Nothobranchius furzeri: one gene and its partner. The protein of the gene in region 2 interacts with the protein of the main gene of each other region in a biochemical or structural test. Links are inferred from orthologs where the notes say so. Each region holds a gene or a part of one and is shown on either strand. Other genes may lie near its edges.

The links.
Region 1: the proteins of copb1 (region 2) and arcn1b form a complex in vitro, tested with the Homo sapiens proteins (2 studies listed by BioGRID). The link is inferred for Nothobranchius furzeri from reciprocal best matches to the Homo sapiens genes COPB1 and ARCN1.

What each region holds. Positions count from the first base shown.
Region 1 is NC_091753.1:20,842,917-20,847,263, reverse strand, and holds the start of arcn1b (archain 1b), read right to left. Parts: upstream 3,007-4,347; 5' UTR 2,842-3,006; coding exon 2,839-2,841; intron 1,913-2,838; coding exon 1,649-1,912; intron 1-1,648. UniProt on the Homo sapiens protein: Component of the coatomer, a cytosolic protein complex that binds to dilysine motifs and reversibly associates with Golgi non-clathrin-coated vesicles, which further mediate biosynthetic protein transport from the ER, via the Golgi up to the trans Golgi network.
Region 2 is NC_091749.1:61,891,384-61,895,809, forward strand, and holds the start of copb1 (coatomer subunit beta), read right to left. Parts: upstream 2,871-4,426; 5' UTR 2,714-2,870; intron 945-2,713; 5' UTR 880-944; coding exon 789-879; intron 552-788; coding exon 322-551; intron 188-321; coding exon 18-187; intron 1-17. UniProt on the Homo sapiens protein: The coatomer is a cytosolic protein complex that binds to dilysine motifs and reversibly associates with Golgi non-clathrin-coated vesicles, which further mediate biosynthetic protein transport from the ER, via the Golgi up to the trans Golgi network.

The DNA of each region.
Region 1 (4,347 bases), on a different chromosome or scaffold from region 2:
TACAGCGTCCCAAATCAGACCTGTTCAAAAGACGCGGATACGCGTCCATGGACCCCAGACGGTTAAGGACGATCGTGGAATTATTTGCAATTTGATTGTCCGATTTATTTAAAAGCTTACAGGATCTGGTAGAAATATGGCATAAATACTGTCGAAGCAATTAGGAGTCAGACATTCAAAAACAAAGCGATGGAGTTTATACAAACCCTAATTCTGAACGTTTCACCTGGAGCAGGTGAGCTAGGACTCTGTTACCATAGTAACACAGCGGGCCTTAAAACCAAACCCCAACATAGCTGCTGACTTCGTGTTATTTAGGTCTCCACACCAGCAAAATGTGACAGAAACAAATATTTAGTGCCTTTTTATTTGCTTTGGCTTACTATTATAATATTTTACTGAAACATTTTGATTTTTAAGTTAGTTTATCCGTTAAGTTTGAATGCTTCAAATCATTTTGAAAGCCAAAATGTGCTCTAAAGAGCGTGTGGCCTGGTTTTCTAGGCGTTAGTAAGACTCACGCAGCTGTAGCCGGGGTCAAAGCTCTCAGATAGTCTCATTTTGTAGAGTAGAAGCTAAAGAGTGAAGGAACCTGTGTAAACACACAATATACTAGCTACACCACACCCAGAGTGTGTCATGTGATACATAACCTGATAAAAGTAATCACCTATCCTTATAAAGAGAATAAACAGCAACAACATAAAAACGATGACGAGCATTTTCTGGTGTATTATCATGCTACAGGGAGGCTAATGCTAGCTATAGCATGGTCCATGCTTGGGTTAATGGAGCCTGGAGTATAAAATAAGATGAGATATGTTTCTAAACTTTGGATTTGATGTTAAATGTGTGATGTTAAGGGCTAAGCTCAGATCTCTAAAGCCAAGAAAGATGTGTTCATAAAAAGTAAATATTTTAGTTTGGTTAACCAAAAGGGAAAGGATTCATTAACCAGTTAGTCTAAAAGTGTCACATATTAAATCCCATCAACTGTGGAAAAGCTGCTTTTTAAACCAGACTGGGAGTAAAACAGGACTGTCCGACTTAGCTTTTCTCCCCGTTTTACTTCATAAATATAAATAAGCATAAAGAGCGTTGTTTGTTTATTATGCTTCATATCTGATGATATTCTGATGCAACAGTAGGAAAACGAACTGCTTTAGACCAAGTGGTGCAGCGATGATGAGACGTCCAACTCTCCACGGTCACAGAAACGTTTTCTCTAACGCCATCAAACCAAACCACAGCAGCCTGGAGAGGACGGACAGACAGGACTCCAGTGCACAGGAGCAGATGGACGTGATCTTTAACTCTGATAATGATCAGAATAATTAAACGAGTTTGATTTAGTTTCCAGAAGCAGCTGCGGGTCGAGGAGCTGGGGGGAGGCAGCCCGGCTGTGCTGTGGGACAAGCACCGCTGATCTAAACGATCCACCGTGTTTGATAGTAAAACAACTAAACTGCTCAAGGTCTAATGGAGTAACTGACGGCCAACTACGGCCTAACGGACAACTGACTTTGTACTGGTGTGATGTTGCACGTGTGATCTGTTATCAAGCCCAACATTTAGCTTCATCTCCCATCTTCTGGGTCAGTTTCACAAAGCCAGCCCACATATTAAAAACAGCTCTGTGTTTCCTTACCACCCGGGAGAAAAGTCTGAGTGTCTCCAAGTCCTCCAGAATGTTGCTGTTCTTGGTGGTGATGAGGACCATGTAGAGTTTCTCCAGCGGCTGGTACACGTAACGAACACTGTCTGTTTCCACAAAGGTGTGCTGCTTGCCCGTGTTCATCAGCTTAGGGAACGCAGCCAGAAGACCCTCGATCCGCGTCCGGGTCATTTCCACAAACTGCCGGGACACTATGGCCTTTCCGGCCTTGGTGCACACCGCCGCTGCCAACAGCACCTGCAGGGCGAGGGGGAAAAGATGCATGTGTGATGAGTCTGTAAAAAGTTACAATTAGACCAAATGCTGCCTTCAGACAGGGTTAAGAAAAAGGAACTGACAGAATATTTCCACTTTCTCTGAAGGAGCAAAAACTAATCCCAGCTCCAAGTGAAGGCCTTGACATCAAGAACAAAACTACACCTGTAGGATAAACTATGTGATGGTGGCTGTATAAACCGGATAGGCACCTAAATTACTCCAAAGGGCAGAGCCGATCCGCGTCAGAGACAGCGGCGAGAGTAAGTAAGCTTCACCTAATCGGAACCACCAATATTTGCCTTGGCGCTGATGGGCTGGCTCACCTGAAGCCTGAATAAATAAGTCACACCTGGTTTAAATGAAATCTTAGCTTAACGATGGTTATAAACACGTAAGACTTTTCATTTAGGGATCTGAAAGCTGGAACTTCACTTTCACATGACCGGGGGCACTACGTGTCGAGCTAGCTGTGGTTAGAAAGCAGCTGTGGTGAACGAAGCTGTGCCCGCTGACGAACACCATGTCTCTGTGTGTGGAGTTTATTATTTCTGTCTGAGGAGAGCCTGACAGCAGCTCAGGTTAGTTGGGATCCGGATTCTGACACAACACCAGCAGCCTGAAGGTGCTAGGTAACGTCAGCAGTGTCTGTGTGTTCCTCTAGGTCCAGTTCACTGAAAAAATAAGATTCTGTTTTTAAAAATGAACCTTTATAAACTCCGTGTGTGCCGTTTAAACAGTCGTTAGACAAGACGGTCCAATAAACGCCGTCCAAGGTTTCCCTTTAAGCTCGTTTTGGGGCAGAGAAAATGAGCTAGCTTTAGCCGTTTGTCAGGTTAGCTAATGTTATGATGGCAGCAGGCCCGACTAGCCCAGGCTACTTCCACACGTTCTCAGCTGGAACTCACCATATTCGGTCACTCTGTGAGGTGTGGAGATCTTCAGTCCCTCGTGTTTCCACCGCTAGGATGTTTTTTGGCCCTCTGGAAAGGTGAGGAACGATCCAGCTGACTTCCAGTTGAGTGATTGTTAGCGCGTTAGCGTCAATATGGCAGCAGCAGAGAGCCACGTCTCCACCGGAAGAGCCGCGCTGGAGGGATCAGCCCACCGTGGAAACCAGTGACGTGGGCCCCGAAATGTTGGCCTTGTTGCATAAACAAACCCTGGAGTGGGACGGCCTGGGCTTATTTCTGCTCTAAATCGTGTTTTATATTTATGATCATTCATTAAAATGGTATCTTTGGAACTACAATGTATTATTTATGTCTTTATATTTAGCCTCTGTTCACTGTCTGATCTTCAGAAGTGTGTTTTAATGTGTAATTTTGATAACAGAAGTTTTCAGACATGAAGGGGTTATTTTGGGCTTGTTTTTGTCCTAGAAAGATTGCATTTCATCAAACTCATTGATACCCAACATCATATAAACATTTTATTCTTTAGTTAATTCTACTTGGGAGGGAGTGTCATATGTATATGTGTCTGTATGTATGTATATATATATATATATATATATATATATATATTACACATGTACATATATATTACACATGTACATATATATGGTAAATGGCCTGTATTTGATATAGCGCCTTCTAGAGTCCTGGAACCCCTCAAGGCGCTTTACAACACAATCATTCATTCACCCATTCACACACTGGTGGGGATGAGCTACGATGTAGCCACAGCTGCCCTGGGGCGCACTGATAAAGGCAAGGCTGCCGAGCACTGGCGCCACCAGTCCCTCCGACCACCACCAGCAGGCAATGTGGGTTAAGTGTCTTGCCCAAGGACACAACGACAGCGACAGACTGAGCGGGGCTCAAACCCGCAACCTTCCGATTATGGGCGAGAACTTAACTCCTGTGCCACCGTCGCCCCATATATATATGTGTTTATAGTGTGTGTATATATGTGTATATATGTATGTGTATATATATATGTGTGTGTGTGTGTGTGTGTGTGTGTGTATATATGTATATATATATTTATGTGTGTGTGTGTGTGTGTGTGTGTGTGTGTGTGTGTGTGTGTGTGTGTGTGTGTGTGGATAGAGCGCACCTCAATATAAGCCGCAGATATCTACTGAATTGAAAATGTAGTTTAACTGAACTGATCAGTATCAAACAAAACAGAAAAGTTATTGATTAGTTTATTCATCGTCCTCCTGTGCACTGAAACCACTGAAGTCATCTTCTTCAGTGTCGGAGCTGAACAGCCTCAGAAGAGCTTCGTCACAAACCTTTTCTGTGGCGATGTCCGTGTCGCTCTTCGTGTTGCTGTCATCATCCCGGGGTGAAGCTGGGAAAACAAGCAGCGCCGTTTTACTGTGATAAAAAATCCCCCTGGATGCTATCCGTAGTACTCCTTTAACCATTCCTTCATTAGACTTTCCAGCATCCATCCTTTCTGGTTGA
Region 2 (4,426 bases):
CAGGAAAATATCGGTACCTGTAGATGGTGTAGATGGCCAGGACTGCATTTCTGCGCACGTAGCTGTGACGGTGCTCCAGGCAGGCCCGGATCGCTGGCATGAGAGGCTCAAGTAGCTCAGACTCCTTCAGCTTGCACAGGAAACGCAGAGTGGAGCCGCGGATGAACTCATTGGGATGCTGAAGGTCCTAAAATAAAAAAAGAAACGATTATTGCAATCTTGTTTTAATAAGAGTACTGAGAACAAACGTATCATTTTAGCTGTTCAGCTATTATTCCAGCTGAAAATGATGTGGAAAATAAAAACAATTCCCCAGCTTACCTTCCTGTAAGCATCACAGACAAGAATCATCTCCTGAAGCAGCTTGCCATCTGGAGTCGTCTTAGGAACAATCTCCCAGAAAACAAGGAGAAGCTTCTTGATGGTGTGGTCTTGAAGTGGCAGCACGAAGCGAATTATAGTCATGAGCAGTCCAGGCAACTTCTCACCGTTCAAGATCATGATTATGACCTTCTTCAGGGCTTCGGTCTTTGCTTTGATCTCTCCCTTTTCTGGAAGACATTAGAATTATGTCAAAACATTTCATTTGTTCAAATCTCTACCTGACGACACCTGCCTTCAGCTAACATTTTACATGAAGACGAGTTTTAAAATGTTTTGAATAGATCCAATCTTTGATCCCAGTTAAATTATTACTTTATACACAATCAGAAATTATTACAAAAGTTTACATCTTTACTACAGTTAACAAGGAAATCGTTTTGTAAAATCTCAAGAAGAAATTTTACCCAGATCTGTTTTTAAGCTGACTTCAGAAGGAGGCTCAGAGTCCGACTGAACATTGATCAGTGTGTAACAAACGTTTTCTGCAGCCGTCATTTTTGCTGCCTGTTGGACGGGGTGGATTTAGAAGAATCCCAGTAAAGTTCCCTTCAGTGTAATACCTGCAAATATGGAAAATAAATGTTAAAAAATGGCTGATAAAACAAATGCTGAATGACAAAAGATGTTGGAAATAAGTATAAAGACATCTACACAGAGGCTGGAAACAACGTGAGGAAACAAAAACACATCACATTCGTCACATTTAAACAAATCAATAAGAGAAGCAATCACTTTGAAGTTAAAGGTGCAGTATGTAAGAATATAGTGAGAATTTTGCAGTGAGAAAATCCCAAAAGAGTTTAAAGTTTCAGTGATTTTGGACGGAAGGTTATACTGAAACATGTTTCATATCCAGCTGGCTGCAGGAATTGTCAGTTTTCCTCCTTTCAAAACAAAGGAAGGAGGGACGTTACTACTGTTTACTAGTAATGCACCGATATGACATTTTTGGGCCAATACCAATATCAAGATCACTGTTCTGGCCAAAAACCAATATTTGCAGATACCGACACACTGACATCAATGCTTCTAAAATCAGCAGATTTTGTATAGAATGAAAATTATTAAAGCTGAATTTAGGTTATTATGAACACACAACACACACATTTACACTTCCGAGATGATTTCATTCACAGTTCACATGACTAAACAATCACACATCACCCCCCTCACCCTCTGAAACAGGCAAACAAATGGAGACAAGATGGAAAAAATATTGGTTGATAATATTGGCCCGTTTTTTCTTTTTTTTAATCGGACCGATACGATATGTTAAAAATGACTAACATCGGCCGATACCGATATCAATACATTGTCCATCCCTACTGTTTACCATCAGTGAGTGTGGGGTTGCTGTGTCTCCTGCGAGCTAATACTGCAGCGCCGACAATTATAATTTGACGACGGCCGGCAAAAAGCTCCAGAGTTGTTTTAAGTGGTTTCAGTAACCAAATTTTACTACACTTAATTTCTATATAATGCACCTTTAAAAAAGTATAAAACTCCTCAGTTAACTTTTTTCATTGTTTCTGCAAGAAACCTAATGAACAAAAAAGACTAACACATTGAATTAAATCAATAGCCTTCATTAAAATTGGTGTAGCAATTGGCCAGGCTGCTTTATTTGGAGGGTTGCTGGTTCAATGCTAAATCTATCTAACTGAGAGGTTTATATTAGAAATATACAACTTGAGGTGGTGCAATTTATGTTTTCATCTTGATCAAGACTTCATTCACAAACCTTGATTTTCACACATTGACTGTTGCCTTTAAGTTTTAAATTTCTGCTAAACAGTCGATGAGAGAGTTTAAACATTTTGCTGTAGTGATCAAACTGGCAATGACAAAACCTACAGCTGTAAAAAGATGAGAAATTTAAAGTTTGTTACAGGGCACCTGTCATCGCTGTAGTTACACAGGTAGATGCTATTTTTTATGATCATATGCCTCTTACCACATGATTTAAACACTTAATTTTGACAGTAGTTTTGTAACAAATAACGATAATTAAGCAGCTGTTACAGCTATAGCGAAATAAGCTAGTACGTAGCTAAGCACAAATGTCATCGCCTTTGCGTTGAATGTCTAAACGTAGATGGGCGGCACATGACAGAATTGTAAAAAAAAATAATAATAAAAACTAGTTTTGTCGTCTACACGGCTGATAATGAAATAAAATGGGAAGCTAAACAGCCACCGTTAGCCAACAGTAGCTTTAGCTTTCATCCAGGTTTGCAATGAAATGGAGGACGTTTGATAGTTGCTAACGCTGGTAGCAAAAACTGGATAAATCCACTCACGTTAGAAAATAATATGCTCCAGGACTTACCTAAAACACGGCTTTTATCCCAAACGGTCGCCTTCAATTCCCAACTTCAAATATTAGCATGAGTAAAAGAACTAGAAGAGCTCCTGGTGTTAGGGCTACCCCGTCGGCTCTCGGGTACTTCCTAGTAACGTGGAAGACTGCTCACTGAGCCACATCACTGCTACGGTGCGCCGGAAGGCTCAAACGCGCGAAAAAAAGGACAAAATCCCACATTTTACAGACATGCATATTTTCTTTTTAAAATAATTCGAATTTTTTTTTACTTAAAATGTTGTCGAAAACCTGTAACTTATTCACTTGCTCAGACTTTAATCAAACACGATTTTTTATAATGCAAAAGCACACAATAAAAACACAAGTATAAAAGTAGAGAAATTGAGTATTAATGCACCCTTTCAGTGAGAGAAAAGTCAGTTTCAACGTGTCTAGATGTATATGATTGGTGATTGTTTTGCTGTTAAATGCAAACAAATGACACTAAAACTATGGGCTGTATTTAAAACGGATTTAAAATTTCTATGTATATCAAATTTCATTTTTAACACAAATTCTGAGCATGAAATGTGATCACAGCAGTTGATCAAGGATACTTGCCATAAAAACATAAAAAAGCCGAAATATCTAAAAAATTAATAAATATAGTACTGCTAGAAGAGTTAACATTAGTAAAGATTTATACTTTACATATTACATCGATTTCCTCCTCGTGGTAAAAAAAAATCCAGTTCAGAATTTTTTTTGTTTGTTTGTTTGTTTTGCGATGTTTCTTCTGTAGCCTATAATTAAACATTTAAACACTTCTGCCAGAAAGGAACCCAACTGAATAAAGTGGCGTGCAGCGCCCTCCGGTGGAAACTAAGCTGAGTGACAACGTGGGTGCACAGAAAATTGAATGAATGAAACCGACTCCAAATTTTCAATGAAACACCTCAAAGGGTGCGGGTTGAATAGGTTTGCCAATATGTCGACAGTTACCAAAACATTTCTTTGTTGACCAAACTTAGAAGTCCAGTATATACACAAAACTACAATAAAAAAGTAGCTCTGGCTGATTTTTGCAGAATGAATTAAAAACAAAAAGGAAGAAAATAACAAGATAGAAAATATTTTAAATCAGAGTTTTTTTAACCCTCTGAGTTTTATGAAATGGTACCCAAACCTATGCATGAGGTGTTGAAGTGGTATCAAGATTACAAGCCTTTAACACTGACTGATTATTTTGTTTAACACATTTAACCACAGAGCAATCTCAGTTTACATCGTGTTCAAATGGCCAGACTGCTTTGCGTCATTAGTTCTTTGACCTTTTAGCAGACATTTAGTTGTTGCAGGAACAGGTGCAGCTAATGACATTAGAGCAGCCTCTTCTTGACCAGTGGGCCGTGTGCACAATGCAGGGTCTGACTGAATGGAATTATGTGCTGTCGTTATTAATTTTATAAACAGCAAATACACATTTCCTGCTATCTTGTGTTAAAAAGTCTGGTGAGGTAATCAAACAGCTGACTTTGACAAATCTGTTGTCTACACACACACACACACACACACACACACACACACACACACACACACACACACACACACACACACACACACACACACACACACACACACACACACACACATATCTATAAAATTGTATTTATTTTTTTGTGGCAAGAAGGAAATTAAATGAGTTAGTTGCACTGTCACTAGCTGGGTTTAGCACTTTGA